Linked DNA regions of Arabidopsis thaliana. The protein of the gene in region 1 interacts with the protein of each later gene in a pairwise test. Each region holds a gene or a part of one and is shown in the gene's direction. Other genes may lie near its edges. The genes, in order: PRK4 and AT3G52070.

Region 1 (16,342 bases):
TTTGTAACAGCATTCGGTGAATCAGAGCTAATGGATGATGATGAGATATGTTCAGAAGAAGTAGAAGTTGAGGAGAATGATTTTGGTGAATCTTTGGAAGAACATGACAGTGCTGCAACAGTATGTAAATCAAGTGAGAAATCCAGGATAGAGGAATTTGTATCGGAAAACAGCATATCAATCAGTCCCTGCCGTCAATCCTTAATCTTGCAAGAACCCATCCAGTCAGAGTCACCTAAATTCAGAGATTCTCTACGGAAGAGCATAGCTCTTTCTTCGTCATGTCTCAGGAATCAGAATAGCTTGGCGAAGAGCATAAAATCCACGTGTTTTGCAGAGAGCCAACATATCAGATCATCTTTACGCGGAAGCAAGATATTCACAGGTTCTACAGAATCTCTAGCTGCAAGTCTGCGGAGAGGCTTGGATATTATTGACAATCCCATGAACCCTGCATCAAACCGATGCTCAGTTTCTTTGTCTTCTGATAACTTGACCATGCAACCTCCCACAGATGATCGATTACCTCTGTCGCCACTCTGTCCAACCTGCAGAATTTGCAGCTCTAAGTTACCAAGTGTAGTTGAGGGAGTAAGTATATGATATAGCAGATACAATATGTTTTAATAGATTTAGTTTTTACAGTTATCCTGAAGCTAACGTTGCTGGATTTATTGTTAATCAGGATGGATATCATATGGAAGGGGTTCTTGAGAAGCAGCAAGAGCTTGAAAAATTGTGCTCAGAGCAAGCAGCCAAGATTGAACAGCTAACGCGCCTGGTAACCCAATTTCTATGTCTTATGCCTACTGAAACTTGGATCAGTACATATGGTTAAGCAGTCTGGTTATATCATATCTTCTTAAGGTAGGGCAACACAAACTTCAAACTGAGGATGAAACAGAAAAACTTATGGGAGCAAGTAATGGAGAACGACTTCCTTCTGCAAATGAAAACCAGGTTGGTTCTTACTTTAATTTACTATGTGACTACTATAGTGAAGAAAATATGATAGATTGTAACATAAATCCCAACTCCATGGTTCTGTAGCTTCTCAGCTGTATAACTGAAACATATGACGTAAAACAAATCTCGGATGATGACTCCAAGAAGACAGACTTTGATATTGGCGAGAAGGAGGCATTACTCAAAGAAATTGAGGATCTGAAAAAAAAATTGCAGACGCCTGTAACCATGTCCACCAATGAACTGAGATCATCTCTGTTGGCTCGTTCGTTTCAACTCCGTAGCAAGAATGCTGAAAAAGATATCGAGGAAGAAAGACTTAGGTGCACAGAAATGGAAAGCGAGTGGATATCATTGACTGACGAATTCAGAGTAGAGATTGAAACTCAACGTACACGCGCAGAGAAAGCTGAAGCCCAGCTTAAACAAGAGAAACTATCTTCTGAGGAGCTAGAAGATGCACTTCGCAGAGCTGTTCTTGGTCATGCCAGGTTTGTTGAACACTACACAGAGCTACAAGAGAAGTACAACGACTTATGCTCAAAGCATAAAGCAACAGTGGAATGGATAACAGAGTTGAAGAAGGCAGTAGCAAAGGCTGGTAAAAAGGGTTGCGGTTCTCGTTTTGCTAAATCACTTGCTTCTGAGCTCTCAGCACTTAGAGTAGAAAGAGAACGAGAAAGAGATCTGTTGAAGAAGGAAAACATAAGCCTCAAGATTCAACTAAGGAATACTGCTGAAGCTGTTCATACTGCTGGAGAAGTTCTTGTTAGACTCAGAGAAGCCGAACAATCAGCATCAGCTGCTGAGGTAAACAAATTTTTCATGTTTTAATCGATGAACTGTTGGATTGAGACTGTGACATTGTTTTCTGAGTGACTGTTTGGTTGCAGGAAAAGTTCAATGAAGTAGAAGAAGAAAACGAGAAGCTAAAGAAGAAAATGGAAAAGTTGAAGAGGAGACACAAGTTGGAAGTGGTAACAATCAAAAAGAGTCTAAAGCAAAACACGTTGCCAGAATCTGCATTGCAGCCACTGCATCAGAGGAACTCGGCTATTGAGGAAGAAGGAATGTAGAAACATCATTATACCAAAGTGCATAACTTGAAGACCCTTCTTGGATCTGATTGGTATATTATACACATCTTTATTCTGCTTATTTTTCACTTTATTGCTTCTAATAAAATTCAAATGTCCTTATTCCACAAGGCATTTTTAGTTTTTTCCCAATTGAATTATTTGTTCTGCTGTATTTGATTTGAATCTCGTGTTTGTGGCGTGCAAACTGGTCTCTGTATAACTTTAACTTTGGTATTTCATTTTAATTTTCTTACATTTAAAATTGTTATCTTTCTTTCCAAACTCAAATTCTTCTTACAAGATATATATATTGTTGATCATGTAATACAAGAGAAATTCTAATCAAAATAGAGTAGACTTTAATTATGGGAATCCTATTTTGCCAAATCGACAATCTTACTCTGTTTTTTTTTTTTTGTCAAGGATCTTACTCTGTTTAAAGTTAACTTTTTGTTGTATATGTCAATTTAGTTCACCAAAAAAAAAAAAAAAAACTCATGTTTTGTTATGCAGTGGTAAAAGTTTTGGAAAGTTTATGTGTTTATATATAGAATATTTCTTGTTTATGAATAATTTTCTATAATTAAGAAAATAAATCTCTACATTATCGAAAGCAAAATATACGGACATATAAGAAAGGAAACTAGAATCATAATACCGAATTATAATCGAAGTTGTTCCATTGTGTCATCGAAGTTGTGCTTTTAGGGAAAAACAAGAATACAGACAGCTCTAGAAACCAAGAACAATGAAGGGTCCTTCAGTGGTAAGAAATTTTCTGTGTTTTCTAATACTTGTTTCTCGAGATGTTATCTATATTTTTCTTGATAGCCCTCTGATTTTGTAACTTTATTAACAGACATGTGTGTTTGGTGTGAACATTGGACTCAAAGGTTATCAAAAGATGTTGAATAAAATATATGAAGGCATTGAAGGTAAAAGAATTTTGAGTCTTTAAGATCTTATTATTAATTATCTACACAAGAATTGAGAAGACTAATTAACTCTGTATACATATTCTGAAACACGAGAGGTTTAAAGCTCGATGTGTCAAACTGGTTGGTGTATTTACGGGGCGAGATTGATCCAATAACCTTCATTAGGAAGATGTATAAAGCAAGAAGTTACGTTGAGCTCTTCCGAATAGATTATGGATATGAAGAAAATCCACAAGGAACCCGGAGACCAAATTCTCACTTCATGGTTTTATATCTCACAACTTTTCACTACTTATACTTATTATCAGTGGTTTTTAAATCTAAATATGTGTGTGTTTGGCTTCTGCAGAGATGTTGCTTTGAACTAAACACATTAGATATAAGTTGGTATAAGAGAATCATAGGAGCCTTGAAAACCATCCAAGGTTCAGAATTTTTCTCTAGGTCATCAATTAATCTTTGGAAAAATGTTATTTTTGTTTTGTTTTGATTGGTGGGTTTGGTTTCAGGTGTATCATTTACCATAGATGCACAACCGGTTATGGGAAATCCGATGGTATATTTATGTGGGAACATAGAAATTGGAGTGCTCATGAAGATGCTTGTGAAGACAGGCATTGAATTGTCAGCAATGGAATATGGAGTCGAGTATAAAGATGCAAACTTGAACCCACCTCCTCCCAAGAAAGTTGAGGCTCCTTCAATTGGAACAGCTGAGACAAAGGACGTGAAAGACACGGTGCCTCCTCCTCTTCCTGAGGTTGTTAAACACCAAGTCGTATACAAGAAGTCTCGCGGTTTAAGAAGGTTCTTTTGTTAATGAATCATGTCGTCATTAGCACCATATTATCATTTTCTTGCAAAACCAAATAATGGACCATGAGAAGAAGAACCGTTCGAAAGAAAATAAAAAATGAAAACAACGTCCTACTCCTCATATATGTCATATGTGTGTGTTATTAATCAAGTACCTAGTTGGTAAACCTTCAAGAGTTTTTCAAGAATGAGATAACAAATTTGTGTGCATTAGTGTTTTCATATTGTTTTTTTTTTTTCATACTACTGCTCTAGTTGTTGATGCTATTATATGCTAAACATAAAAGGCAGAGTGCATTTAAAGAAAAGCATAGAAGCTTATCGTTACGTTTTACATATTTGCCTTTATAAATTTATAGATAGTGTTTAATTGATAAGAACATAATGTTTTTTTTATTTATATATAATTAAGCATCACATGTTGAGAAGTAATTACAGAAACGTAAAACATTTGACTTCAATCACATGGGATTTGTTCATAAAACTAGATGAGGAGAATTATGTTTTCTTACAAAAATTGTTATCCCGCAAGCCAGCTTTCAAAAAGCTCCCAACGTTATCGAATCAATTCATATTACTTACAACGAGAAAGAAGCTGTTTTGCTTCGTATTTTACGTAATTGAATATCTTCAAGAAATCAATAAACGTGATTATTTTGTTAAATAAACCCTAAACTCTTCAACTATAAAGATGGTATATCAGTGTTCCAAGGTAAAAGGATCAAACCAAACCCAAAGATGGAAAATCGAGAAGTTTTTGTTTACATTGTCATCTCCATCTTCCGCTCTCTCCAATTCTTGTTTTGGAGATTCCGTCCACGTTACAATGATGTTACGTCTGCGTTGACCCGCCCTCTGACTTCGGCCGCAAGCTATGATTTTAAGTTCATGTCGTATATGGTCAATAAGGCTAAGTCCGTCAATAAAGCACTAGAAGAGGCTGTTCCTCTCCGCGAGCCAGAACTCAAGATCCGTGAGGCCATGAGGTACACGCTTCTCTCCGATGGGAAGCGTGTAAGACCAATGCTTTGCTTAGCTGCATGCGAGCTCGTGGGGGGACAAGAGTCAACCGCAATGTCCGCTGCATGTGCGATTGAGATGCTCCACGCGTCGTCTCTCATCCTAGACGACCTCCCTTGTATGGACAACGACAGCCTCCGACGTGGAAAACCCACTAACCATATAGTCTTTGGCGAGAGTATAGCCATATTAGCTTCTCAAGCGCTCATAGCTTTGGCTGTCCAAAAGACCACGTCATCCACCTTTGCGGACGTTCCCCCAGAGAGGATTCTCAAGACCGTTCAGGAGATGGTTAAAGCAGTGGAAGGGCTTGTTGCAGGTCAACAGGCGGATTTGGCTGGAGAAGGTATGAGATTTGATAGTGACACTGGATTAGAGCATCTTGAGTTTATACATATTCATAAAACGGCGGCGTTGCTTGAAGCCGCAGCTGTTATGGGAGCTATAATGGGAGGTGGGTCTGATGAAGAGATTGAGAGGCTTCGGAGTTACGCAAGATGTATTGGGTTAATGTTTCAGGTTGTGGACGATGTGCTTGATGTGACCAAATCGTCGGAAGAGCTCGGGAAAACCGCCGGTAAAGATTTGATCGCCGGAAAACTGACGTATCCGAGACTGATGGGAGTGGAGAAATCGAAAGAATATGCTGAGAGATTGAACATAGAAGCGCGGGAACATCTTCTAGGGTTTGATATAGACAAGGTGGCTCCTTTGGTGTCTCTCGCTGATTACATTGTCAACAGACAAAACTGACACTATTGCTCAAAAGCTTAATAACAAAATTTGTGTCTACTGTCTAGTGACAATATTAAAACTTGGATATGTAAACAAAACACAGGAGGCCCATACACAAATTTAGGCCTGGTTCTACTTAACGGCTCAACGGCCTTCACTTGTTTTCCTTTGGATAAATAAAAGTTGGGGTTTCCATAAATTTGTCTTATTCATTTGGCATGCAATTCTAAAAATAGTACATTAGTAATGATACAAAAGTACTGCTTGAGTTGTTTTGATACAAATAGTAATGATACAAAAACTAATTAGTCTCATGTTTGATAAGAAAAATTGAGATAATTAATTTAGTGGTTTTATGAAGGTAAAGCTCACATGTTAAGTAGTAAATGCATCGGTAAACATTTTTTTTTTTTTTTTATAACCAGGAGGTTCGGGGCCGAGACCCTTAATCCCTTCAGGATCCGGGCCGGGAATACTAGGTGAAAGCCCCTGACCAAATAGAAATAACTAGTAATTTCACGCCTAAGGGGAATCGATCCCTGACCTGGACCAACAGGGCAATTCTTCCTCAAGTGGAAACCATTAGACTACCACCACTTGGTTCATCCGTAAACATTTGCTTAGACTAGTTTAAACAAGAGACTAATGAGATTTGTTTTTCCGTTATTATAATAATGTTAGCGTGTCATGGCCAAAGGCTTCGTAAACGCTCCCAACGTGCCGCGCGTTATACTATAAATGACTCCACATGATAGTAATATAGTATAACAACTTACAACGAGAGTAAGTTGTTTTCATTGTGTGTTACGTAATTCGATTGCTTCAAAAATTAATAAATGTCAAGTATTTATATCATTTTCTAAGTTTTTTGACAGGAGTTACAAGAAAATAAGTAGCGGAAAAATAAATTTACAAAAAACACAGACATAAATAAATAGTAATGGAGGAAAACGTTAACCAAAAGCGGAAATAAGAGAAGAAACACCGATTCCGAAAAGCTAAACTTGGAAATTTGCATGATTTCCACAACTCGAAGATACCAAAAAGTTAGAGTCTCATCCTATTTGCTACGAGCAAACCTTTGCAGAAGCCCGTCTTCAAAACTTCTCGATAAAATGTGTACAGCTTCTTTGCAAACTAACGCAAAAACGCAAAAACAACTATAGGGCTAACACACAAATTCGACAGTTACAGAAGCATCTACGGGTAACCAAAGAAACCACCTTCGGCCACCATTCGTATCACAACAATAGGAACCATCTCTCATAGATAAGCGATGCCTCGAAAACCAACATGCCGCCTCTATTATTCCGTAAAGACTCCACTCCAACATGACGCACAACATCACTGTTGTCTAAGCACAAAACAACCACATCAAAAGAAACCACAAACTCCAACTTCAAGCAAAACGGATGAAGAAAGGAGGTGGCTTCACGAAGAGCAGAAAAAAAAAAACAGAACTCCGACTGACGAAACTCACACCATCACTAGCCCAAAAACAGAGGGGAGTCCCTGACCACCCAAAAACCTAGTCACCACCCAAAGATACAATTTGAGTCGAGTTAATTCGGTACATTAAAATCCTTATAAACCGGGTAACCGAAAATCGTCTCCTTCAGTGTCTAGGGCTGGTCAAATCTGACGTGGCATATTTCAATATTTCATTCTGTTGTGCTTGTAGATGTTGAATCTCCATTTTCGTCTTCTTTTCGAGTATTTCGTGCTACTACTCTCTTGATAATTCGAAGCTTTTTCGTTATCTCCAGAAATGGGTTCTTCAGAAACGGAAAGTGAAAGCAGAGGTTTTCAAAACCCAGATTGGGAAACAGAGTTTAACCGATTCGAAAACGCGATTTCGTCTGGTTCTGCTTCAATTCGTGTAAGATCCGTTTTAAAGTTATCAGATTTGACGAATCGAGTACCTGAGAGCTATATATCCCGTGCAATTCCGATTCTCGCCGGTCTTCTTCGTGTCTCAGACGACTCCAATCGTTCCGTTCAAGCTGCCGCCGCTCATTGCTTGAAATGTATTACCTGTTGCGGCGGTGAAGAAAGTGGATTTGCGGTGACGATGGGGAGGTGTGGTGTGATTGCTAGCTTATTAGGGTTGTTACTTGAAGCGAATACGGATGGTAATGTGTTTCGAAGGATTTGGGTGAAATGTTTGTGGAGCTTAGTTACTTTTGGATCTTCGATTCGAGTTGGTTTGGCTAGGTTAGGTGGTTTAGAGATTGTGATTCGTGAGTTGAATAATTGGGAAGATGATGGAAGTAGATGGTACTTGTTAGAGATCCTTAGTGCTTTGACGACGATTAGAGAGAGCAGACGCGTTCTTGTTCATTCAGGTGGGCTTAAGTTTCTTGTAGAAGCTGCTAAAGTTGGGAACTTGGCCTCAAGAGAGAGAGCTTGTCATGCTATCGGACTGATCGGTGTTACTAGACGAGCTCGGCGAATACTGGTTGAAGCAGGAGTGATTCCAGCACTTGTGGATCTGTATCGAGATGGGGATGATAAGGCAAAGCTTTTAGCTGGTAATGCCTTAGGGATCATATCTGCTCAGACTGAGTACATTAGGCCTGTCACTGAAGCTGGTTCCATTCCTTTGTATGTCGAGCTTCTCTCGGGACAAGATCCCATGGGGAAAGATATTGCAGAGGATGTGTTCTGTATATTAGCTGTAGCTGAAGGTAATGCTGTTTTGATAGCGGAACAACTGGTGAGGATCTTGAGAGCAGGGGATAACGAAGCCAAGCTTGCAGCTTCTGATGTGTTATGGGATCTTGCGGGTTATAGGCATTCTGTATCTGTTATTAGAGGGTCTGGCGCAATTCCTTTGCTTATTGAGCTTCTGAGAGATGGGTCACTTGAGTTCAGAGAGAGGATTTCTGGAGCTATTTCTCAGTTGAGTTACAATGAGAACGACCGTGAGGCCTTTTCTGATTCCGGTATGATACCGATTCTGATTGAATGGTTGGGGGATGAGTCGGAAGAGCTCAGGGATAACGCAGCTGAGGCACTTATTAATTTTTCTGAAGACCAAGAGCATTATGCTAGAGTGCGTGAGGCAATAGGCCATCCTGTGTTTCAGAGTATGCAGAGCAGACTGGCTAGAATCCGAGCTTCCCATGAACTGATGGTTCGATCAATGCGAAGGGTTACAATCCAACATCTTGCCCATGACCATGATCTTCCATGATCTGAAGGGCAAATTAAGCTTCCCATCTGTTTTGATGTATGTTTATAATCTGACTTGGAAAAAGAAAAGACTCAATTGCTGTTTGATTTCTGCAATTTGTATTTGATACGTTTGTATACATGTACTAAAAGATTTCTGACTTTGAATGGAAATGGTATCTACATGGTTAGTCTTCTTTTACATAACTAAGCACCCAGTGGTTGGACCATAAGAATCATGCACTATTCTATAAACCTCAGGCCTTGGCTGCTCATTGCTAACCACAGGACATTGAGCTATGCAGCAATGCGGTGTAATAGACTTCTCTTCGACCTGTGGCTTCTTCACTTCTTCAAGAGTCTCAAGAGTGACATGACATGCTTTCTTCCTTAAGGCCATAATCAAAGAAGCTGAATCCACTCCATCTCCAACAACCACAAGCTCATCCTGAAATTCTCCTTCCATGGCCACTGAAGTTACACCTGCGTTGCCAGATACAGATGTATTAAAGTTTCATTTTTTTTAACCATAAGAAAACCACTCTCGATCGGTTCAAAACATTAAATCTGTTTTAACACTAACCATCTGCAGCAACTGCTACTTGCATTGCCTTCTTCCTGCATTTTTCACTATTCACTGACAGTTTGATACGCATCTTTTGCTGCAAATTGCTCCAACAAAGACCAATGATTCGAAAAAAGAAACAGATCGAGAAACAAGACATCCATGATTATCGAAATAAAAATGAAGAGCCTTTAAGCAACAAGAAAAATTAGCACCTTCATTGTCCTGACGAAGCTTTGTCTCTCTATAAAGAAGTTGCTTTTTAAGAATCGAAGCCAAACTTCCTCAGATATGAGTTAAGAGAACCAAACCCTAATTATTCTCCGTTTTGTACGGATTTCAAAAGCGAAGAAGCTTCTACACACTGAGTTTCAGAACTGTAAACTTCGCCAGAAAAAGACAGAGAGAGAGAAATTTCTTCTTGACCGAATCAGACACCAACTGAGACTCCAATTTCTTGTCTTTTGTGCTCGGTCCTTTTGATTCACTCAAACAAGAAGAAGAAAAACAAATGGGAAGAGAAGAAGAAATTAAGTTGTTCTGTGAATGGGTTTCACTGTTACATGCTTTTTAACTTGATACACAAGGTCGCCCATTTCCCTGACAGATTTGCCAATGTTTCCCAGTGTTTAATTACCACTGTGCCATTGAGTTTTTGTCTTCTTTGAAAAATCTGTCCCATTGTGTATCATATGCTGTCCCCCGTACAAGACTTATAACCAGTTTTCCACTCTTACGTCAATATTAGTAGTAGTAGTTTTACATATATTTTTGTTATGGAAATGCATCTTAATTACTAACTTAATTAGGCTTATTTTTCCACAATTTAATTTAGTTTAATTTTTATAATAAGGATTGTGTGTTAGGCCAAGATTTAGTTAGAACAAATGGGAAGTAAATGAAAAGACAAATCACAACAACAAGGATTGTATAACTAAAAAACCATAAAAGAATGGAATGGCCACCCTAAGATCTCTCTAAAATCTAAACAATTTGTAGACAACACATAGGCAAACAAAAACCAAATCTTGCATATTGACACATTGTTGGGTTTTGTCTATTCTTGGTGGGTTTTGTTCTCTCTCTTTCTGTTCATACGTTTTTTTTTTCTCTTCTCTGGAAGGCAGGAAAGAGAAAAAGAAAAGTTATTTAGCGAAAAAAAAAAAAGAAAAAGAAAAGTTCATTGGGATCGAAAAGAGGTAAGATTGTTCTTGAAGAATCGATTCTATAGAGCGTGTTAGCTTCAATGCTAACTTGGGAGACCCCAGTTATGCTTGCAAGCAACACCGCCTCAACCAAAAAGCTAGCCTTCATTACCACCTTTCTCATCATTGTGTTATGTCCGGTCACAATGGTCATGTCTCAGCCGCAGGCGGATGTTTTGCCACTGCCAGCCTCAGACGCAGATTGCCTCTTGAGATTTAAAGATACTTTGGTTAATGCATCGTTCATTAGCAGTTGGGATCCTTCCATCTCCCCGTGTAAGCGAAACTCAGAGAATTGGTTCGGTGTTCTCTGTGTTACCGGTAATGTTTGGGGCCTACAACTCGAAGGAATGGGCTTAACCGGGAAGCTTGACCTTGAACCATTAGCTGCAATCAAGAATCTACGAACCTTGAGCTTCATGAACAACAAATTTAACGGTTCAATGCCATCTGTCAAGAATTTTGGTGCGTTGAAATCATTGTACTTGTCTAACAACCGGTTTACAGGGGAGATACCCGCGGATGCGTTTGATGGTATGCATCATTTGAAGAAGCTTCTGTTGGCTAACAACGCGTTTCGAGGGAGTATCCCTTCTTCTTTAGCTTATTTGCCAATGCTTTTAGAGTTGAGGCTAAATGGGAATCAGTTTCATGGGGAAATACCTTATTTTAAACAAAAGGACCTTAAGTTGGCTAGCTTCGAAAACAATGACCTCGAGGGACCTATACCGGAAAGCCTTAGCAACATGGATCCTGTCTCCTTTTCAGGTAATTAAACAAACAGTTCAAGTACATCTGCAAATGTTTGGTAAACTATAGGAGTTCTTATGTAAAAACAGAATCTTTCTTGCTTTGTTGACATTGCAGGGAACAAGAACTTGTGTGGTCCTCCACTAAGCCCATGTTCGAGTGATTCAGGATCTTCTCCGGATCTCCCTTCTAGTCCCACGGAAAAGAACAAGAACCAATCTTTCTTCATCATTGCAATTGTTCTGATTGTCATTGGGATAATACTGATGATCATTTCGCTTGTGGTCTGTATCCTTCATACCAGAAGACGCAAGAGTTTGTCGGCTTATCCATCCGCGGGTCAGGACAGGACAGAGAAATACAACTACGATCAATCTACGGACAAGGATAAAGCTGCAGATTCTGTAACGAGTTACACTAGTAGAAGAGGAGCAGTACCGGATCAGAATAAACTCTTGTTTTTGCAAGATGACATTCAAAGATTTGACCTTCAAGATCTTCTTAGAGCCTCTGCTGAAGTTCTTGGGAGCGGAAGCTTTGGCTCTTCTTATAAAACTGGGATAAATAGCGGACAGATGCTGGTCGTGAAGAGGTATAAACATATGAACAATGTTGGAAGAGATGAGTTTCATGAGCATATGAGACGGTTAGGGAGATTGAAACATCCGAATCTGTTGCCTATTGTGGCTTACTATTACCGCAGAGAAGAGAAGCTCTTGATCGCTGAGTTCATGCCAAATCGTAGCTTGGCAAGCCATCTTCACGGTATGTAACATTCAACTTTTTTGGTCGATTAAAATTGTAACTTTATCAGTTTTGACTAAAAAAATGCTCTGTTTCAGCGAATCATTCTGTGGATCAACCGGGATTGGATTGGCCAACAAGGCTAAAGATTATACAAGGAGTGGCTAAGGGTTTAGGTTACTTGTTCAACGAGCTAACAACCCTAACAATCCCTCACGGTCATCTCAAGTCATCGAACGTTGTATTGGACGAATCATTTGAGCCACTCCTAACCGATTATGCACTAAGACCAGTGATGAACTCAGAGCAGTCTCACAATCTAATGATCTCTTATAAATCACCAGAGTATAGCTTAAAGGGACATCTAACTAAAAAGACAGATGTTTGGTGCCTGGGGGTATTGATCTTGGAGCTTTTAACAGGTAGGTTTCCGGAGAATTATCTAAGCCAAGGGTACGATGCTAACATGAGCCTCGTAACTTGGGTGAGCAACATGGTTAAGGAGAAGAAAACAGGTGACGTGTTTGACAAGGAAATGACTGGGAAGAAAAACTGCAAAGCAGAGATGCTAAACCTTTTGAAAATCGGGTTGAGTTGTTGCGAAGAAGATGAAGAAAGGAGGATGGAGATGAGAGATGCTGTGGAGAAGATAGAGAGGTTAAAAGAAGGAGAGTTTGACAATGATTTCGCATCGACGACACATAATGTCTTTGCTTCTCGGTTGATAGACGACGATGACTTTGGTTTCGCCATGAATCGATGATGAAACTGATCAGTCTTCTCCAGAACAATGGAAAAAGCTAAACAATTTGTAATCTTTGATGCCAAATAAAAAGAAGAACTTTCTTTTTCTTCTTTGTTATGTAACTTTTTCCATTCTTATAAATCATTCTCTTCGTGTAATTGTAAATCCATTTTGCAGAGTTTTGAAAATTTTACTCATTTCTTATTTTCAAGTACAAGAATCAAATCCATGCAAAAAGTAATGAATCCATGCGTAGTGACAACATAGCTTGAGATCGAAATACTCAAATTGCATTGTATGTGGATGAAAAGTTTCCAACTTCAAAAAAAGTTTGGAACTTTTTTCTCGAGAATTGTATTTTAGGGCTAAAAATTGAATTTTTGGGGATAAACTAATTACTATGGCGGAGAATTCGCGGCTACGAGAGCTACGGAGACACAGATGATGAAAGAGAGAAAGAGAGAGAGAGAGAGAGAGAATGTGAGGTTAAAATTATCCATTGTTGTTCTTCAGTGCACCACTGAATCGAAGTTTTCTAATTTGGAGAAAGAGGATTTCTCAAAACCCCTAATTTAGGAAGACCGCAGATTTCTTTAGTATTGAGAATGAGATTCTCCGAGAAGATGGATTAGTGAATCGAGAGGTTGATATCGTTAAATGCGGGGATTTTGCAATCTAGGGTTCTTAAGCATTGTAATCGATGAAGGCTCAAAAGGGAAGCTCGAAGAAGAAAGGTACGAATTCTGGGTTAGTCGCTGTAGCAGTGGATAACAATAAAGGAAGCCAACATGCTCTCAAATGGGCTGCTGATCATCTTGTCTCTAAAGGACAAACCATTATCCTCCTCCATGTTATCCTTAGGTCATCCTCTGATTCAGGTCTGAGCTTATGACAAAACCTGTTTTTGTTCTTTTTGTTGTTTTGATTTTTTGGATTCTGGATATACTTAAATGTTGTGGTGTTATGGGTTTGCTTGCAGGTGAGATTACTGCAGAGAAACATAAGCAAGCTGAAAATCTTTTTGTGACATTTCATTGCTACTGCAGTCGAAAAGAGGTAATATCTCTTGTCCTCGCTTGCTTTGTTTCTAAAGTGAATCTATGTTATAGCATAGCTTTTGGTAATTGAATGCATTGTTCTTTACTCTCTGTTGCTAGATACAATGCCTTGATGTCACGCTTGAGGATGACAACATTGTCAAGTCCCTTGCGGAATATGTTTCCTCTGGTGTGATTGAGAATTTGATTCTTGGTGCTCCTTCGAGGCATGGATTCATGAGGTAGTAATATGAATCTCTTCTCTCCTATAAGTTTGAATCCTCTTCCTTGTTTTATCCTTATGTGTTTCTTTGATTCAATCTGTTGACAGGAAATTTAAGATTTCTGATACACCGAGCAATGTAGCGAAAGCAGCACCTGATTTCTGTACAGTTTACGTTATTTCAAAAGGGAAGATATCATCTGTCCGCCATGCCTCACGAGCTGCTCCATATCGGTCTCCGCTTATGGGTCAGATTGAAAACCACTCTGAAATCATAAACTACGAAAAGTTCAGAAACACCATGAGCTTTAGAGGTAAAATCATTAACTAGTTTTTTTAGGCTAAACCATGTGACACCACACACATCTTGAATTTTTTTCTTTCGTTGGTACAAACAGATAGGGCTCCTCCCAGGTCTTCGACTGCTAGCTCCATTGAAGATTATGGAAAGTAATGTTTCATGAGGATATTTTTCGTCTTTGACAAAAAACTGATTCGTTTTGAAGGAAGATACTTATCGCTCTTTCTTTCGCGGTAATATCGTCAACAGGTCACCTATGGCAAGGACGTCAAATTACGCAAACTCATTCTTTGATTTGGAAGATTCCGAAAACGACATATCATTTGTTTGCTCAGGCAGGCCAAGTACCGCAAGCTCAGGCCGGCCAAGTACAAGTACCGGAAGGTCTGACATATCTTTTGTGAGCTCAGGCAGGCCGAGTACAAGCACCACTGGAAGCCCTTCCTTCATCTACGATTTTCCTGATTCTGGTTTAACTCCGAGAGAGTCGACGAGCTCTGGACACTCTATGCGTCTAGGAATCAGGTTCAATGACACAAATATCCAACATGATTTCTCATTCGTCTCACAAGATAGCGGTCGGTCATCTTGTTCTTGTTCACCACAAAACTTGGTAAGATGCGTTTGATTGGTTATAGATAGCAATACATATGTTTTCGGGAATGGTTTACTATATATTTTTCTTGAAAAATGTATAGGAAGAAGTGGAAGCTGAGATGCGGAGATTGAAGCAGGAACTGAAACACGCAATTGACATGTATGGATCAGCTTGCAGAGAAGCACTAGCTGCAAAGCAAGAGGTAAAACGATATAAGACGAAACCGTCCCTGTGTATATATATTCTTGTACAGTGCTGACTGAAAGAAATTTTACTTATGGATCAAAGGCGAAGGAGCTCCAACGTCAGAAAATTGAAGAGGAAGGGTGGGTGCAAGAAGGACAGTTATCAGAGAAATCTACAAAGTCCATAGTGGAAAAAGAGAGAGCACATAAAGCTGCGAAGGATGCTTCTGAAACAGCAGGCAAGATAGCAGAGCTCGAAACACAAAGAAGAGCTATAGAAGCTGCAGGTTCTTTCTCTGATTCCAGTTTAAGGTATCGAAGGTATGTCATTGGTGAGATTGAAGAAGCCACAAACTCATTCGACAAGGCTAATAAAATAGGCGAAGGCGGGTATGGTCCTGTCTATAAGGGTTATCTTGATCATACCCCTGTTGCTATTAAGGCTTTGAAAGCAGATGCAGTTCAAGGAAGATCTCAATTTCAAAGAGAGGTAAGTTCACTTAAAAATCCTATACTTCTCAAATCTAAATAGAAATCAGACTTTAACTTAGGTGTGGACTGACTATTGAGTATTGAGCATTGTTATAGGTAGAAGTTCTTAGCTGCATAAGACACCCACACATGGTACTACTAATTGGAGCATGTCCAGAGTATGGAGTGCTTGTATATGAGTATATGGCCAAAGGGAGTTTAGCTGATAGGCTCTATAAGTATGGAAACACACCACCACTCTCGTGGGAGCTCAGGTTCCGAATTGCAGCCGAAGTTGCGACGGGTCTGCTCTTCCTACACCAGACGAAACCCGAGCCTATAGTGCACCGTGATCTTAAACCCGGAAACATTTTGATTGACCAGAACTACGTAAGCAAAATAGGGGACGTTGGATTAGCCAAACTAGTGCCTGCAGTTGCTGAAAACGTCACGCAGTGCCACGTGTCATCAACCGCTGGGACTTTCTGTTACATTGACCCTGAGTACCAACAAACTGGAATGCTAGGTGTGAAATCTGATGTCTACTCTTTTGGTATCTTGCTTCTCGAACTGCTCACAGCGAAAAGGCCGACGGGTTTGGCTTATACCGTTGAGCAAGCAATGGAGCAAGGGAAATTCAAGGATATGTTAGACCCAGCAGTGCCTAACTGGCCGGTGGAAGAAGCTATGTCTTTGGCAAAGATTGCTCTTAAATGTGCACAGCTGAGAAGGAAAGACCGACCAGACCTCGGAAAAGAGGTTTTACCAGAGCTCAATAAATTGAGAGCTC
Region 2 (15,625 bases), about 12 Mb from region 1:
ACGGATACGCAGAAAGCGGTAAAATCCTCCTTCTTCGTCGTCCTTGTAAAAACCCTTTCTCATTTTTGGAAGGTTCTTTCAAAATCCTTTCTTCGATTGCTTTCGGATTCTCGCTCGCTTCTTCGATTTTTGGTTTTGATTCATGGTGAATGTGTTTCCTCCGCTAAGGTTAAACGCTCTTCTTCTTCATGACAGTACTTTCAGTGACGTCATGACGCTGCATCTGTATCATCACTCCCGTTTTCTATGGAGGAATCTCTGTTTTCCTCGGAGTGTTGGAAACTTGTGTAATCGGAACTGTTCTCTCATCTCTCCTTCCCTTGCACGCTCTGCGAAGGTGATACTTGTACTTGTATCGTTCAATTCTGAGCTATTTAGATGTGGTTTTTACTCTTGTTATGTAGTCTACATCTGAATCATGGCTCTGATTAGTTTGATATACAGATTTTCTGAATCAATTGAATGTTTCTTTCGCGACATTTCTGTTTACTATAAACTCAAAATTGATCTCTGAAGGATACTTATTATTTCGTTCTAATGTTGATATAAACATTTGTGGTACACAGTACTATTGCAGTTCCGTAGCTGTTTCTGAATTCTCAAATGAAGCAGCTAGTGGCAGCACATTGACTTCTATAAGTGAAGATGTTACGCCACAGTCGATAAAATATCCTTTCAAGTCAGAAGAAAGAGTAGCTAGTACTGCTGCTTCTTCAAATGGCAGAGTGATGCTTATTGATGGGACATCGATTATATACAGGGCTTATTATAAGCTTTTAGGTAATTCTGCTACTCATGTGTACATCAAATGTTAATTTTTTTTCCTCCCGATCTCACACTTATTGACATTTGATTGGGCATGTGCAGCAAGGTTGAATCATGGTCATCTGGCTCATGCTGATGGAAATGCGGACTGGGTTTTAACAATATTTTCATCTCTTTCTCTTGTAAGTGATATCTTGAGTATTGTTCTCCAGATGTTCATTTTTACTGTACTTAAATCTGATGGTTGAGAAAAGCTTCTTGTAGCATTAACGATGGCTGACCAAGTAATCATGGTTGCGTATAATTATGTTTCCTTAAGGCTAAAGTTTATCTTTCTTGTTATAACTTTCGCATTCGACTTCTTACCTTGTTTCATTGTGTTCTCATTTTCAGCTGATTGATGTTTTGAAATTTCTCCCATCCCATGTGGCGGTAAATTCCATTATCCATTTAACATCGCATTTCTTTATATCTGTGATGATCGAATGAAGTTCTTGTAGTTTTCTTAATGTTGGATAGCCCCTACTGACTTAATTAACTGTGTCCATGCAGGTGGTGTTCGACCATGATGGTGAGTCCTAATGTAATAGTCTTCTATAATTGGTTAAATTCATGGACGTCTATCTACTTCATGTGGTGATGTAGGAAGAATTCAGGTTTTTGGGGACTTTTAGTGTCTATAGTTAACCACTTTGAGTGTGCCTCTCAGATGATTTAAACTAATTCATTGATATAAGCCCTTATTTCAAACTCTATAGTTATGGCCTCTATACTTCCTGATTTTAATTACTCAAGTATGTGTATGATTTCCCCTTATCAATTGATGCTAATTGCTCCTCTAGTCATCTATAATTTTGATTTTCATCATCCTCTTTCAGATGAATAGATAAATAATTGTCTTCAGCTTGTTGAATGTTGTTGCCCGAAAACTTAGATTATGTTGAGTGTTGATGTTTTCAACTTCATTTGTATCATAGTGAATGGATAAAAGTTTCAGATTTCAACTTCTGGCCACTACTGAGAACATTTATTCGATAGGCCTAAGAGTAAGCAGGTGGAGATCTAGATGGTGATATATTGACCAAAATTGATTACTTAATCTTGATAATCATTACTGTACTATTTATGGAATATTCCACTAAGTTATCTAGAAAAGCTTCTAGTAATGCATAATAGTGGTAATCTGACAAATATCATGTAGTAATCATGGTTATGTCATATGTGAGGCAAGAAGATTAAATGCTTTCTGGACCTATACGTCTCTAGTTACTCTTTTTTAACAAAATAGAGCCTTTTTCAGGAGTTCCTTATGGCACTACTTCTAATTCATCTACAGGTTATCGTTCTGCAAAAGGTAAGCTCCATGTCCTTAGTCAAACTAAAGTAATTTAATTGACAGTATAAGAAGTGGTCATTTTTGCATGAGAGTTTAGTTAGTATGCTGACTCGATGGTGATGTATGTAATATCATCGCCGATGATCTCCAATTGCTATACAAGCCTTCAGTATATTGCTTCTAAATATATAAACTTGCAGTTTGAACTGATTTTCTGCTGTGTGCCTAGGAGAAATTATTCCGGAAATTATGGCTTACTTGCCAAGGATGATATTTGAAGTGAAATGCCAACTTTGTCTTCCTTTGGGTGTTTTGCTTGCCGCTTTTGGGCAGTCATAAACTTTGGTGTAGATAACAGAGGGTCGGTCATATGCGCTTCCATGGCGGTCTTTGGCTATTTGTAAAATAAACTTAGGTCATATCCAATGATGAACGTAGGTCCAGTATGCTTGATGTCTTTTGTTGTTTCCGTTCTGTACATACTGACATAGATATGCATATCCAATACTCTCTTCTTTCTACGTGATGGGTTCACTTGGCTGCTCAAACTGTAAATTTTAGGCTTTTTGGCACTCTAAACCTCGACATGATTCTCCCTTGTCTTTGCGCAGAGTGTGAAGGATTATTTTTATGCATCAGTATCAAACCTATCTTTGTTCATGTTTAAATTTTTACAGGCATGAACTTCCGTCATACTCTCTACCCAGCATATAAAAGTAATCGTCCTCCCACACCTGATACCATAGTACAAGGACTTCAATATCTCAAAGCGTCCATCAAGGCAATGTCTATAAAAGTTATAGAGGTAAATCATGCACATGATTGCCATATTTCCTTTCATTGTGATGATTTCTCACTAATGGGCAGACATTCCATGAAGACAGGTGCCAGGTGTAGAAGCTGATGATGTTATTGGAACACTGGCTATGCGAAGCATTAGTGCCGGTTTCAAAGTACTCATTTTCAGCTATTCGAGAAGTGTTCACTACTTATTGAATGCTCAGGGTCTGTTCAATTTGTCCTTTTCCTAGAAGTGGACTGATCATTTGTTTGTTACCCCTTTACAGGTCCGAGTTGTCTCTCCAGACAAAGACTTCTTTCAGATTCTTTCTCCCTCGTTGCGTCTTCTTCGACTAACACCACGCGGATCAGAGTATGAAATTCATGTTAGATGGATAATTGCCTCATTGTAGAATTTTGCGTATTATGAAACCATAGTTGCTCTTTGTATCCTGTATGTTTTTTCCACTCAGTTGTGTCAAGGCTACTGCTTCTTGTGGCAGGATGGCTTCTTTTGGAATGGAAGATTTTGCTAAAAAGTTTGGAAATTTGGAACCAGCACAATTTGTTGATATCATCGCCCTTGCTGGAGACAAGTCTGATAATATTCCAGGTTAAGCCCACTTCCTCTACCCCTCACGAAATTGTTAATTTCTGGGGATATTCCTTTCATAGCCGCATTTTGTGTATCACAGAAAAGTTGAGCAAAAGTGCACAATCTACATACAAACGTTTAGCCAAAGTGCACACAGGAAAGGGCTAAAGTGATCTAATGATGTTTGTGTGATGCAGGAGTTGATGGTATTGGGAATGTGCACGCAGTGGAACTGATATCTAGATTTGGTATTCACTGAGTCATGCTATATTCTTTGATTTCATTGATTTGCGCCCCATGTTTCCTATTACTCACTTTTATTGCATTATCAGGCACGTTGGAGAATCTGTTGCAGTCTGTGGATGAGATCAAAGAAGGAAAAATAAAGGAGGTGAGTGAACAAGTGTTGCAGAGGTTAGGCAAGCTAGTGCTTCTGTGATATGCAAGGCCTAATATTATAATCTTCCTTGTCTTTGCAACAGTCTCTAATAGCTAGTGCGGATCAAGCCATTCTTAGCAAGAAATTGGTAGGTTTTCCTGTTTTTCTTTCATACTTTCATTCATTTATTCAGTTGTTAAGTTCACAAGGTAGGGATGATGAATTGTGTTAATGGCAGGCACTGTTACGGTCTGATCTCCCAGATTACATAGTACCGTTCGACACGAAAGATCTTACTTTTAAGAAACCAGAGGTTTGTATTTGTATGACGATATACATCTACTACAATAGACTAACTGAAAACAGAAAGATTAGTAACAGAGGATAATTTGTGAAATGTACAGGACAATGGTGAGAAATTGAGTAGCCTGTTAATCGCGATTGCGGATTACGCAGAAGGATTTTCAGCTGATCCAGTCATCAGAAGAGCTTTCAGGTTGTGGGAAAAACTGGAAGCAGTGCCATGATGATATTTTATGCATCTTTTTTCTTACTCGTTTCTTTGTATTGGGTACATAAAATAGAGTAAGTTCAAGCCAAGCTTAGAAAGTTCTCCCACAAAACATTAAAGCGATACTTTCACAATCCTTTTGTAAAGCATGCTTTATTGTAACTATGGAGAATGATGAAGTTGATGCTAATTTAGAATGCTCCTCCATGGGAGGTTCCATTACATAAAACACAAGGGAGATGATAACTTCAAGCTAGCCTCTTCTGAACACATCTAAAATGCTGTCTGAAACTCTGTTCACTTTGCTAAAACAAGAATCTCTTCTGTCTTTTAGTTGAATAGGTAAACTAACGTTAATATCATTTACTATTATTAGTATCCGCTAAATTGATTATAAAAAAAGGTCAAGTTAATGCCTCATGGAGACATATGATGATGATGATCAAAGTAAATTATAAACTAAGAAGAAAATATTCGTCTCTATTGAATTAATTATGTACATTAGTGACAATAAGAACTAAAAATATTCTAAACAAATTAACAATGAAAGAAAAGAGACAAGGTACTAAACTAGTACGTAAATTAGTAGACAAACTCCTTCATTGGATCTCAAACCAAATCGAAAACCAAGGACCAAGGTAGCATTATGCTTTTGATGATGGGGTCTGAAAGTGTGTTACCACTTACCACCTTGTGACAACTTTGGAACACTGAGTATTGGTGAAACCACTACTCAAAGCTTAAGCCCGTTCGCACAGTGACCCGGCTTTGAGCTTATGAAATAATGGACTCCGGGGTTTGGTGAGCCTGACGAGATCGAGGCCTGTCTTGTGCACGGCTACTGGAGAAGTGGGGTCGCAATATCTGAATTCACGATGACCGCTGATTTCTAAGACATCGACGTTGTCTTCGATGTTGTATTCTAAAACAAGATTGTCTCCCACTTTAAACTGTTTCTCCACGCTCCAATAGATAAAATCACAAAAGCACAATCTGACCGACAGTATAACAATAAGCCATCTAGTTCACAATCAATGGGCTGGACTAGATGATTCATTAATTAAAAGAACGTCATATGACCATAACTTGGTGCATTTTCACCATTGTTTTGTTACTTTGCAATTAGTAATTCATCAAAGTAAAAACACTTGAAATAACAAAGATCTTTTCATTCACACTTTTTTCGAAACAAAAGAGAGGGAACAACACTTTTGCCATTCCCTCTCTCTCCCGTGGAAAGGAGCTGAATTACAAAAGAAAAGCCGATTTGGCTTTATCTTAATGATGATGCTCTCACTTTGCCTTTGGGGGCTCTCTATTTACATTCTTTTTTACATCCATTTTCCCATATCTCTACCTTCCCTAGAGACACACAAAAGCTTAAAAAACACAGCAATTTTCACACACACACACAGAAGTTCATCTTTATTTAGCCACTCTTCTTCGAGCGCCAACACAAGCTTCTTCCTAAACCTTCCTTATGATGATATCTGAAACCTGAACACAATAACAAGAAGATAAGCAAATTGAAACTAAACTCTCAAACTGTATTCATATTTACACATTGAGATTTCAGTGTTATACCTAATTTACTTTCACCGAATTCAATCCCTAAAGATCACAGCATCTGCAATCTCCATAAGCGGTTGCAATGACTCCGGCGTGAATTTTCTGGCGAAGAAATAGTCTAAACTCGAATTAGATCTCCGCAGAGAGTGAATCAGCTGCGGCGAGATCTCAGAGGCATCGTACGTGTGAGGATGACCACCAACACTACCGGTCCAATTAACACGTGTGAGTGTAAAGTGACTACATCCTTGAGGATCCTCAAGAGACAACAAAGTCGGAAAATAATGTTCTTCAGGGTAACAAGATTCAACATCAAGGCATGGTAATTTGAATTTCCTCCATAGCTTTCTCTCTTTGATCACCATTAGAGCATGACGTTTCGCTAATACGAAGAACTGAGATCCAACACGGAAGTCTTGGTACTGGATCTCAGGAAGCATCGCGTCGTCTCCTCTTGCGTTGTATCGTTTCAGAAGGAACGGTTCATCGGAGAGGATCTCGATGAAGCTTTGTTGATGATGATCGGAGAAGAGGTGGTTGTGGATGTAAGAGAAGGAATGGAGAGGGATACAGTGTTGTGAGATTAAAGCGAAATAGAGATTGTTAGGATCGTCGAGGATTGCGTTTGCTAGTAATCGTCGTTCGGCGGAGATTAACGTCGGAGAAGCTCGTGCGGTTCTTCTCGCCGGGATGAACTTAGCGTTGATTGATGAAGAATCGAGAAGAGGAGAGACGGAGGAGGTTGGATCTGCGTGGATGTAAACGTTGTAGAGATCTTGGTGACCTTGGAAGAAGCTTTCCCAGAGAGGTAAGAAGGTTAGATCGGAGTTTGTTAGGAAGAGGAAAGCGATCTTTGGGGGTGGATTTGGAGAGAGGGAGATGAGACGACGGTTGTTGTTGGTGGAGGAAGAGACGACGGCGCGGTGGAAGAGAGAGAGGTCGTCTAGGTCATCGGCGGTGGAAATGAGGGTAGAGGAAGAGAGAAGGATGTGTGGTGAGAGGATGAAGAGGAAGAAGAGAAGAGAAAGAGAGAGGAAGAGAGATAGAGAATAAACGAGTGTAGAAGATGAGAACATCTCTCTGTATACAACAACACAGAATTTCTCTGAGGAAGAAGAAGAAGAAGAAGAAGAAGATTGATTGAAATGAATGAGTTAGAAAAAATTCTGATGTGACAATAAAAAGGAAAAAGGGGAATAATGACGTCAGCAAAATGGGGACACGTGAAATTATTTTTAAAATTATTTGGGACAATCGACACAGTTGCTCTATCGCTATTTGTTTACGTGGGGCTGTTCTCTCTCTATTTATATAATAATGAGATACGGTTTTTTCAGCAACCAGATTTTAAAGTTATCTGATTAAATCTAATAATAGGATAGAGATAGAGTCACAGAGACATGTTGTTGACTTTATGACATTATTTTATTCTTTGCTTATCCACTCAGTCATCATTTATCTCACCAGTCAGACATAATGTGTTGTTGTTGTGAATTTGTAGATGCTTCCGACTATACCTGATTACCTGGCCATTCAGAATCGGTTTGGATCAAAAAATTTGGGTTTTCGGTTTAGAAATCGAAACAAACCGAATTAGTTGAAACGAACCGAATAGAAATTCGGCCAATTTGGTTTTGCATTGGCGTGTACCTTGTGACTACATGTGTGTGTGTTAGATGAGATCTATCCACCCATTTTTCAAATCATTTTTGTCGTTAAGCTATCAAGATTCTGATATTTTCCTGCTCACTTTTGATTCCCAAAACAAAAAACTTTCTTCAATTATTCTATTCATCTTCTCATGGCGGCTCTCTCCACCACCTTCTACTACCACCCACTCTGCACTAACCACCGTACAAAGAGACAAGCCTCAAGCAGACACGGAGTTAGATCTATGAGAGTGATGTCTTGTCGGAAGCAGAAATTACCAGAAGAGAATGAAGGAGTGATCCAGAGAACATTGAGAAGGATGATTTCAGAGGCTGGGAAGATTGGGAAGAATCTGAAGCCAGAGAAGAAGAAAGGAGACGTCAAGGACCTGATGCTTATGAGTCTCTCTTTTGCTGTTTATGTTTATATCTCTCAACTATTGGTTTGTGCTTACTTCTCCTGGCAACATCTCAGCTTCCCCAAATCTTCATGGTAGTAGCTAAGCTAGCTCCTCCTTGTAAATTCTGCACAAATCAGTAATAAGATAAGAAATTCAATTCCGACATAGGAGAATTGAGAGTTGTGATCTTTCACTTTGGTCTTATATAATTGAATTGTTAAGCTTCTCATACCTCTTTATCTGCTTTAACTCCGGCAGAAAAGGCAAACCAACCATTGCGATAACACTATCAACCAGTTAAGGCTCTTTGTTTTAGAGCCGAAAGGAGATGCAAGAGCCTCGGGCAGAGTCGCTGAGTATGCCTTGAAAACCAAAACTTTGACCGTAATTGTTAGAAAGAAAGAGAGATTCCTAACCATTTCGTATTGGCCTCCTCCAATTTATCCTCCTTAAACAGAGAGCCCCATCCATTTTCCTTCTGTGTGCTGCACCAAACCTTTCCTCCATAGTCATATCACTGCGAGCTTTTCCCTGTACAATCCAACCTCTAAGTCAGCTATAAGCAAAGAGCTTGGGATAAAAGCTTGGTTGTGGAGTGTTCAGGTAAGGAAACAAGAATCAGCAAATGATCTTAAAGAAAAAACGTTCCTCCTTTGTTTCATCAAATCCAACAACTTCAGCGTCATCTAACAATTCCGCTATAGATGGAACATTGGGAAAAAGAAGAGTTTCCATCTCTCCTATATGCTAAATTCCCAGCAAACATGCAAGAGCGCACGTTCACCAGACTTGATGCTGGAAACACCAATAGCTAAACCGGCCATTACTTGTATCTCTGTTCATAGAGGACATTTCACTCCTTAGTTTTTAATCTTGTTTAAAGCTCTGTATACTAACATAAACATGCATGAATCAGCTTTAAAGCAACAAAAGAAAGAAAGGAAAACTCAATTTCTTTCCTCCCAAATATTCTTTTTCATTAGGTTCACATGAAACGCAAGATTTAAGACCTCAGCTTTACTATCAACTTTAGGTAGGTAAGACTACCTACCATTTTGAGAAGGCTCACAATGCAAAAATGGAACTCACCATCCTTGACTGATTCGGTTTCAGCTCCAGCAAACCAAAGTGTTTCTAATAAACTTGGCCGTGCATTGAACCACGGAGTTCCAAAATCAATGTCTGTTTAAATCATTGGCCCCAGAATTTGAACTACACACAGAGTCACAGACATTCATTACGATGGTTGAATGAAATGGTCTTGACTAAGAAGTAAGAACAACTATGCACAATTGAGAAACTATTAGCTCGATTTCCAGAAACTATCACTATCGTAATATAAAAGTCCCAGGATCGACCAAATCGGACGAGAAAGACTCAATGAAGAAACCCCATAAAAACATGGTCGAAGTCAGTATAAACAAAATCAAGAGTTTGGTCGTCGTTGTGGATTTGGAGGAGAGGAGAGTGAGCTTACAGAGTATGAGAAGCGAGAAGCTCAGGGGAAGTGTGACTCGTCGTCGTCGTCTTCGAAGTCACTCACGACCATCGAGAGATCTGATGATTTTGGTAAAATATCAAAAAAGGACTTCAACTTTTCACTTAAGTCAAAACAAGCCCCTATAAATAAATTCTGTTATTTAAGCCTTGAGGCTTGAGCTGCGTCTTTGTTGTTCACTAGGAGAGTTATTTGAGCGGATAATTTACTAAAACTGAATGTCCATCTCCCAAACAAACATTTTACGTTTTCATGTTATATAAAAGAATACTATATCGTTAGCTAGAATATTGTAGTTAAATATTAAAGTAGTGTATTTTACATTTTGTCTGAACTTTGTCATCTTTGTTTCATGAATGGTCAATGGTGAATAATGGGGAGAGAAGGAACGTGAATAAAGGGATCCACAAGTGTCTCCACCATTTTCTGAGTAAAAACAATCACATCCTTTCATTTTCAAACCCCTAAACCAAATTGTAAAGTCAGAAAAAAAGAAAAAAAGAAACACACATACAAATCGAAAAGCTTTTCTTCATCTCCCACGTTACAATAAGCCCTAAGAACGAATAAGGCAACTACAGAGAGAAAAGATGAATTCAACTACAACAAAAAACGTTTGTGGAGACAAATGGTACCTTAACCTAGACAGGCCAGAAGAGGCATTGAAGATTCTTGTATTCATTGCCATTTTCGTCGTCCGAACTCTCCTCCATTATCTCATGAAGCCTCTAGGCCAACCTTACCTCACCACCGACTTTGCTGTATGTCAAATATCTTTTTGTTCTTTGTCTATCTCTTTTGATTTCTATATTAACTCAAATTTTCTATGCATCAGATAGGGCTAATTCTAGGTAATATTCCAAGGTTTCGAGGGGCATTCTCGGGGCCTTACTCTATAACCCTCAACAACATAATAGAATTTGGAATGATCTGCCATATGTTTGTCATGGGTCTAGAGATGAATCCAAGCGTTCTTCTCAGACCACCAACCAAAGATGCATTCATTGCCTACACAAGCATGATCACGACCTTTGTTCTCGCCTTTGTCACAACTCCTTTCCTCCACTATACCAAAACTTCTCCTTACATTTTCTCCCTCGCCCTCTCCCTCATGGCCTCAAGCACCGGTTCTCCTATCCTAACCCGCGTCATCGCCAATCTCAAAATCAGAAAATCCGATCTTGGAAAACTTGCATCAGCCGCAGGTGTCCATACGGACATGATCTCTACCTTGCTTTACTGCTTCGGCTTCATTTTCTTCCCTACGGAGAAACCTCTCGCTCGTCCTCTCCACAGATTCTTCAGAGCCCTCCTCATGTTTTGCCTCTTCCTCGCTCAGGTCACTTTCACTTCCATTGTATCCCCAATCTTTCTTAATTGGGTCAACAACGAGAACCCTGAAGGTAAACCACTCAAGGGGTCACACCTTGTTATGTCCCTGGCATTTGTCGTCTTGATCTGCAGTTTCCCAACTTGGCCACCTGAATCAATGTACAACCCAATTCTCAGTGCATTCACGGCTGGTCTCTTCCTTCCAAACAAAGGAAGAATGTCGAAATGGATCATCAACAAAATCAATTACTTGCTCAGCACGGTCTTCTACCCTATCTTCTTCTTCTGGGTTGGATTCATAATCCACATGAGAAACTTTGACATTACTGACAAAATGGCGTGGGTAAGATTCTTTTCTCTTCTTGGCACTGTTATAGCCGGAAAAGTCACCGGAACAGTCTTGTGTGGTTTACTACTCGGTTATCATGTCCCGGAAACCGCATCCTTAGGACTGCTTTTGACCACTAAAGGCCATTTTCATGTCTACTTGGCAGCTTTAGCCATTCGGGTACCATCAAGCTTTCTCTTTATGTTTTGTTATTTAAGCTATCATCAAAGTAAGATCTTTACTCTCTTTCTTTTTCGTTTGATGCAAATGCAGACTAACAGGGTGAAAAGTACGACCGGTGCATTGATCATATTTATCATTGTCTTCACGGTGGTCTACTCCCCATTCGTGGTCATGGACATCATCAAACGCGCTAGAAAGCGGGTGCCTGTGCACATCATGGCGCTTCAATGGCTCGATCCAACAACTGAACTTCGGATCTTGATTGGTCTCCACGGTCCCCACAACATTGGTTCTACGCTCAACGTTATGGAGATCTGCCATGGTGGCCGTGAGCCGGGTTCCATATTCTATGCGACTGACATGGTGGAGTTGACTGATGAGATTGCAGCCACGCTGAAGAAGGGCGGAGGAGCCGGTCAGAGTAATGATTCAGTGACGGTAACGGATAGGTCGGTGACGGAAATGAGAGAGAGTATAACGGCAGCTGTGAATGGGTACGGAGAGCTCCGCAATGGACAAGGTGTGACAGTGCGGCGGATGCTGGCGTTGTCCACGTTTGTGACCATGGCCCATGACGTCTGCGGTTTGGCTGATGAACTTATGGTTTCCATTATAATTCTACCGTTCCATAAACGGCTGAATCCTGATGGTACTCTCGATGCTGGTCATGCTGGGTTCCGTCATGTGAACCGCAAGGTAATTGTTCCATCTCAGTAATACTCTGTTTCTTTCAGTTCTCAGAGAGATAATTTGGCATTTGTGTGTGCAGATTCTGAAGAACGCACCATGTTCAGTAGGAATTCTTGTGGATAGGTCGTTCGGGCAAACAGAAGAGGCATGGAGACCAGGAGCGTCCATGGGCATTGCTATAATATTCATAGGTGGCAGAGACGACCGAGAGGCACTAGCCTTCGCTGCACAAGTGGCTCGACATCCTGCTGTGAAATTAAAGGTTATACGTTTCTTGGAAGACAAGAGCTCTCAAAACGCACAAAAACGAAGCAGCATCCTGAACAGAGCGAGTGTGGTAGATCAAGAGGAGGAAATGAAGCTTGATGATGAATGTTTTGCTGAGTTCTACGAAAGATACATAGCTGGAGGTGGAAGAGTGTCTTACATGGAGAAGCATCTCACCAACTCCTCTGAGACTTTCACAGCTCTTAAATCACTAGATGGAGAGTATGGGCTGGTGATTGTAGGAAGAGGAGGGGGAAGAGCGAGCAGTGGGTTAACCACCGGCCTCAACGACTGGCAGCAATGTCCAGAGCTTGGTCCCATAGGTGACGTTCTTTCAGGATCAGATTTCTCACACAACACATCAATGTTAATTATTCAGCAGCAGCGTACTCGGGGTCAGCTAGAAGGGCTTCATGATGACTTCACTATACTGTGAATATCTGTACAAATGCACTTTACTTAGTAGCTTGGGAAGAGTAGTAGCTTCACCATCACAACTCTTAAAGAGACTTTGTACAATAGTTCAAACATTAAGCGGTTTATGTAGATAGAATGGTAAAAAGAAGAGGTAATCTAAGCATTACTTCATAGCATCCTGAAATGGTGTTGAAACATAGAGTTAAAAGAAGTTACAGGCCGATTTGTTTTTGATTTATACAAAGCATAACTAGGGAAAATTTCCCAAGCTCATTATTAGTCTTGATTGGTGCTTAGCAAAAGACAATGTAAAACGTTTTCCCCGATGTGCTGATGGAGAACTCCAAGTTCCTTAAAACTGATTCGAAAACTTGGCCACCTCTGCCTGAAAACACAGAAGGGTATACCATAAGACCAGGTACATCAAACAACATCAATAGCATTTGATATTCGTCTAGCTTATTAACCACATAATCAGATAAGTATATCCGAAGAGAGAAACTTATGTACCTCAAACTGGTTCTTCAAGTAGTCGAGCTCCTTGTCCAAGTCATTGATGGCCTGGTTGTATGCTTGCATTGGGGAAGACTGGCTTGTTGTGTGAATCTACATACAGAAACCACTTTCACAATTAAACAACAACATACAAGATCTTTCTATAAGTCCTTAAGCAACCAGTAATCCCAGAGGAAACTGTTAACACTAGAAGCTTAAACCAAGAAATATTCACGGTTTCCAAACAACCATACACTACTTTTAAGTTCCTAAACCAATCTTTTGGATCCTAAGGTCAATCAATGAACTGAAAAAAACGCAGAGGATAGCATTGTTCTTTCCAATTCAAAGCAACAGGCTCTACAGTAGAAGCAACTGAAAAACTTGGAACTTACCCTCACTATGATTTTGTACTTAAGAGGATGAGGAAGTTGGTATCCAGCAAACAAGACATTCTCGTCGCGATGAAGTTGCCTAAAACAAAAATTTCAGAACAGAGCTGACAAAAATTAGGGCTTTCTTCTTTCTGAGAAAAGAGTTGCAAAATCAACAAAAAGACGTACATGCGGACAATGTTTCCAATCGTATGGTCTTCTCTCTCAACCGTGAAGGAAGCAGCATTGATGATCTTCGTATCCCTATCATAAGAAACCCTAGAACATAGAAATCGAGAGGGTTTAGCACATGTAAGAGGACTATCGAGTATGATTTCGAGTGATAGAAACTTCAATTACTTCTTGGTGCCTTCAGGGACGACGAATCGCTCATATCGTTCGGGAGCATTCATGGCTTAATCGGAGATTTCAAGCTTCGCTCTCTTTTTCGCCGCAGAGAGACAGTCAAGAGTTCTTCAGTTTCTTTCTGGCAAACAAAATATAATACGACGTCGTTTTTCATAAAAGAAAAAAGATCGAATCTCCACGTGTTATATTATTATTGGTGTATACAGTTTGGGTCGGATCGGGCCGATAAAACATAATATTTCCGTTTAAGGACCTCTAGGTTTATATTATTTACACAATAAAGGACGAGTGATTTAATTCAGAAACCTAACAAAAAATTCAGGAAAAAAAGAAAAGAAGTCAGATCCCTAAAAATCGAACCCGAAAGCGTAAAACTTGAAAACCGACTATGGCCTTTCACGTAGCTTGTCCAATTACATGGTATGTTTTTTTTTCTTTCTTTTGGCGCCTCCTTTACTCGTTGGCTTGTTTGTTTTTACTAATCGAATTGTTCTAATTTGGGGGTTTTCTTCTTTCTTTCGTTCTTTCTCCGCAGCCGGAAAATTTGCTTCTGCGTTTTGGGGTTTTCTCGGAATCTTCATGGTAATGAAGTCAAGGATGTGTATCTCAAAGAGATCCATTCTCTTCAGGAGTTCGTGCGAAACCCCTGGGATGCTGAGGTTTCCAAGGACGGTACCGTTCAGATCCATGTGCCTAAGCTTGCTGTTTTCGATACTGGTCCTCGCATTGCGGCTAGAAATGTTGGTGTTGGGAGTGATTCGGCGATGGAGGTTGTTGCTGCATCATCGAATTTGGTACCAGCTAAACGCACCTTGGTGTTGCAGAAGAAGGCTGTGGAAGTTTATGCTGCGAATGATTGTTCTGGCGACTTAGAGGTTCGAATTCTTACTTGCGAAACTTGTTTTTGTGGTTAGGGGTTACTGCTATGTCAATTGAATTGAACTTGTTTATAGGAATCTGTCTTTGTGAGAAAACGTGTTTTCAGTGATGTTGATTATCTGTATCTCGTGTATGTGTTTTGGTGTTGTCCTGTCTTTTCGGGTTCTGTAATCTATGATTTATATGTAAACTACTTGTGATTTTTTGGATGATTATGAAGTCTATTCTCGTCAAGACACTAATTCAATGTTATGTCTTTCTCTATGTAGGTTTCAGTCAAAGACCTCAATGAAGAAGATCATGATCATCACAGTGCAAGCATAACATGTCACATGTGCTATTTGGTTGAAGTTGGGAAGAGTGAGAGAGCCAAGATGCTTTCTTGCAAATGTTGTGGGAAGAAGTATCATAGAAACTGCGTGAAGTCTTGGGCCCAACATAGAGGTATTGTTTCATAGGAATCTATTGTTTATGACTTATGAGTCTTTCTGCCTAGATTCTTATACCGGTTTTTGCTAGCAGATCTTTTTAATTGGAGCTCTTGGGCGTGCCCATCTTGCCGAATCTGTGAGGTATGTTCGGACACAACTTTGTGCTCAATGATTATTCTTGCTCTTTACATGCTGGGCTAGGTATGACTGCTGCTTGATTATTTGTATTCTTTTGATCATTTTTCCTTTAGGGCTGCGGGACTTTAGGGGATCCAAAAAAGTTTATGTTCTGCAAAAGATGTGATGATGCATATCATTGTGATTGCCAACATCCTCGGCACAAGGTATAGTATTTATTGCGTCTGTATAAGGTTCTT

What was found.
Region 2: the proteins of PRK4 (region 1) and AT3G52070 interact in a protein complementation assay, tested with the Arabidopsis thaliana proteins (one large-scale study listed by BioGRID).

What each region holds. Positions count from the first base shown.
Region 1 is NC_003074.8:7,034,458-7,050,799, forward strand, and holds PRK4 (Leucine-rich repeat protein kinase family protein), read left to right. Parts: upstream 1-10,253; 5' UTR 10,254-10,539; coding exon 10,540-11,266; intron 11,267-11,337; coding exon of another isoform or gene 11,338-11,365; coding exon 11,366-12,013; intron 12,014-12,090; coding exon 12,091-12,755; 3' UTR 12,756-12,966; downstream 12,967-16,342. Other genes in the region: AT3G20150 (Kinesin motor family protein), read left to right, coding at 1-591, 686-781, 868-960, 1,051-1,776, 1,860-2,042; AT3G20155 (uncharacterized protein), read left to right, coding at 2,794-2,811, 2,905-2,980, 3,079-3,248, 3,333-3,408, 3,493-3,803; AT3G20160 (Terpenoid synthases superfamily protein), read left to right, coding at 4,538-5,572; AT3G20170 (ARM repeat superfamily protein), read left to right, coding at 7,323-8,750; AT3G20180 (Copper transport protein family), read right to left, coding at 8,928-9,211, 9,312-9,453; AT3G20200 (kinase with adenine nucleotide alpha hydrolases-like domain-containing protein), read left to right, coding at 13,438-13,615, 13,717-13,793, 13,895-14,016, 14,106-14,311, 14,396-14,447, 14,548-14,911, 14,997-15,098, 15,185-15,571 and 1 more. UniProt on the Arabidopsis thaliana protein: Receptor-like kinase involved in the control of pollen germination and pollen tube polar growth. Can phosphorylate ROPGEF1 in vitro.
Region 2 is NC_003074.8:19,305,017-19,320,641, forward strand, and holds AT3G52070 (RNA/RNP complex-1-interacting phosphatase), read left to right. Parts: upstream 1-7,701; 5' UTR 7,702-7,736; coding exon 7,737-8,081; 3' UTR 8,082-8,208; downstream 8,209-15,625. Other genes in the region: AT3G52050 (5'-3' exonuclease family protein), read left to right, coding at 143-337, 567-780, 868-947, 1,159-1,197, 1,318-1,336, 2,066-2,119, 2,779-2,906, 2,986-3,054 and 7 more; AT3G52060 (core-2/I-branching beta-1,6-N-acetylglucosaminyltransferase family protein), read right to left, coding at 5,971-7,011; AT3G52075 (uncharacterized protein), read right to left, coding at 8,231-8,404; chx28 (cation/hydrogen exchanger 28), read left to right, coding at 10,074-10,244, 10,319-11,323, 11,417-12,022, 12,096-12,719; NRPB11 (DNA-directed RNA polymerase, RBP11-like protein), read right to left, coding at 13,053-13,085, 13,211-13,306, 13,395-13,484, 13,591-13,669, 13,759-13,848, 13,930-13,982; AT3G52100 (RING/FYVE/PHD-type zinc finger family protein), read left to right, coding at 14,327-14,358, 14,474-14,813, 14,892-14,945, 15,087-15,261, 15,340-15,389, 15,500-15,592.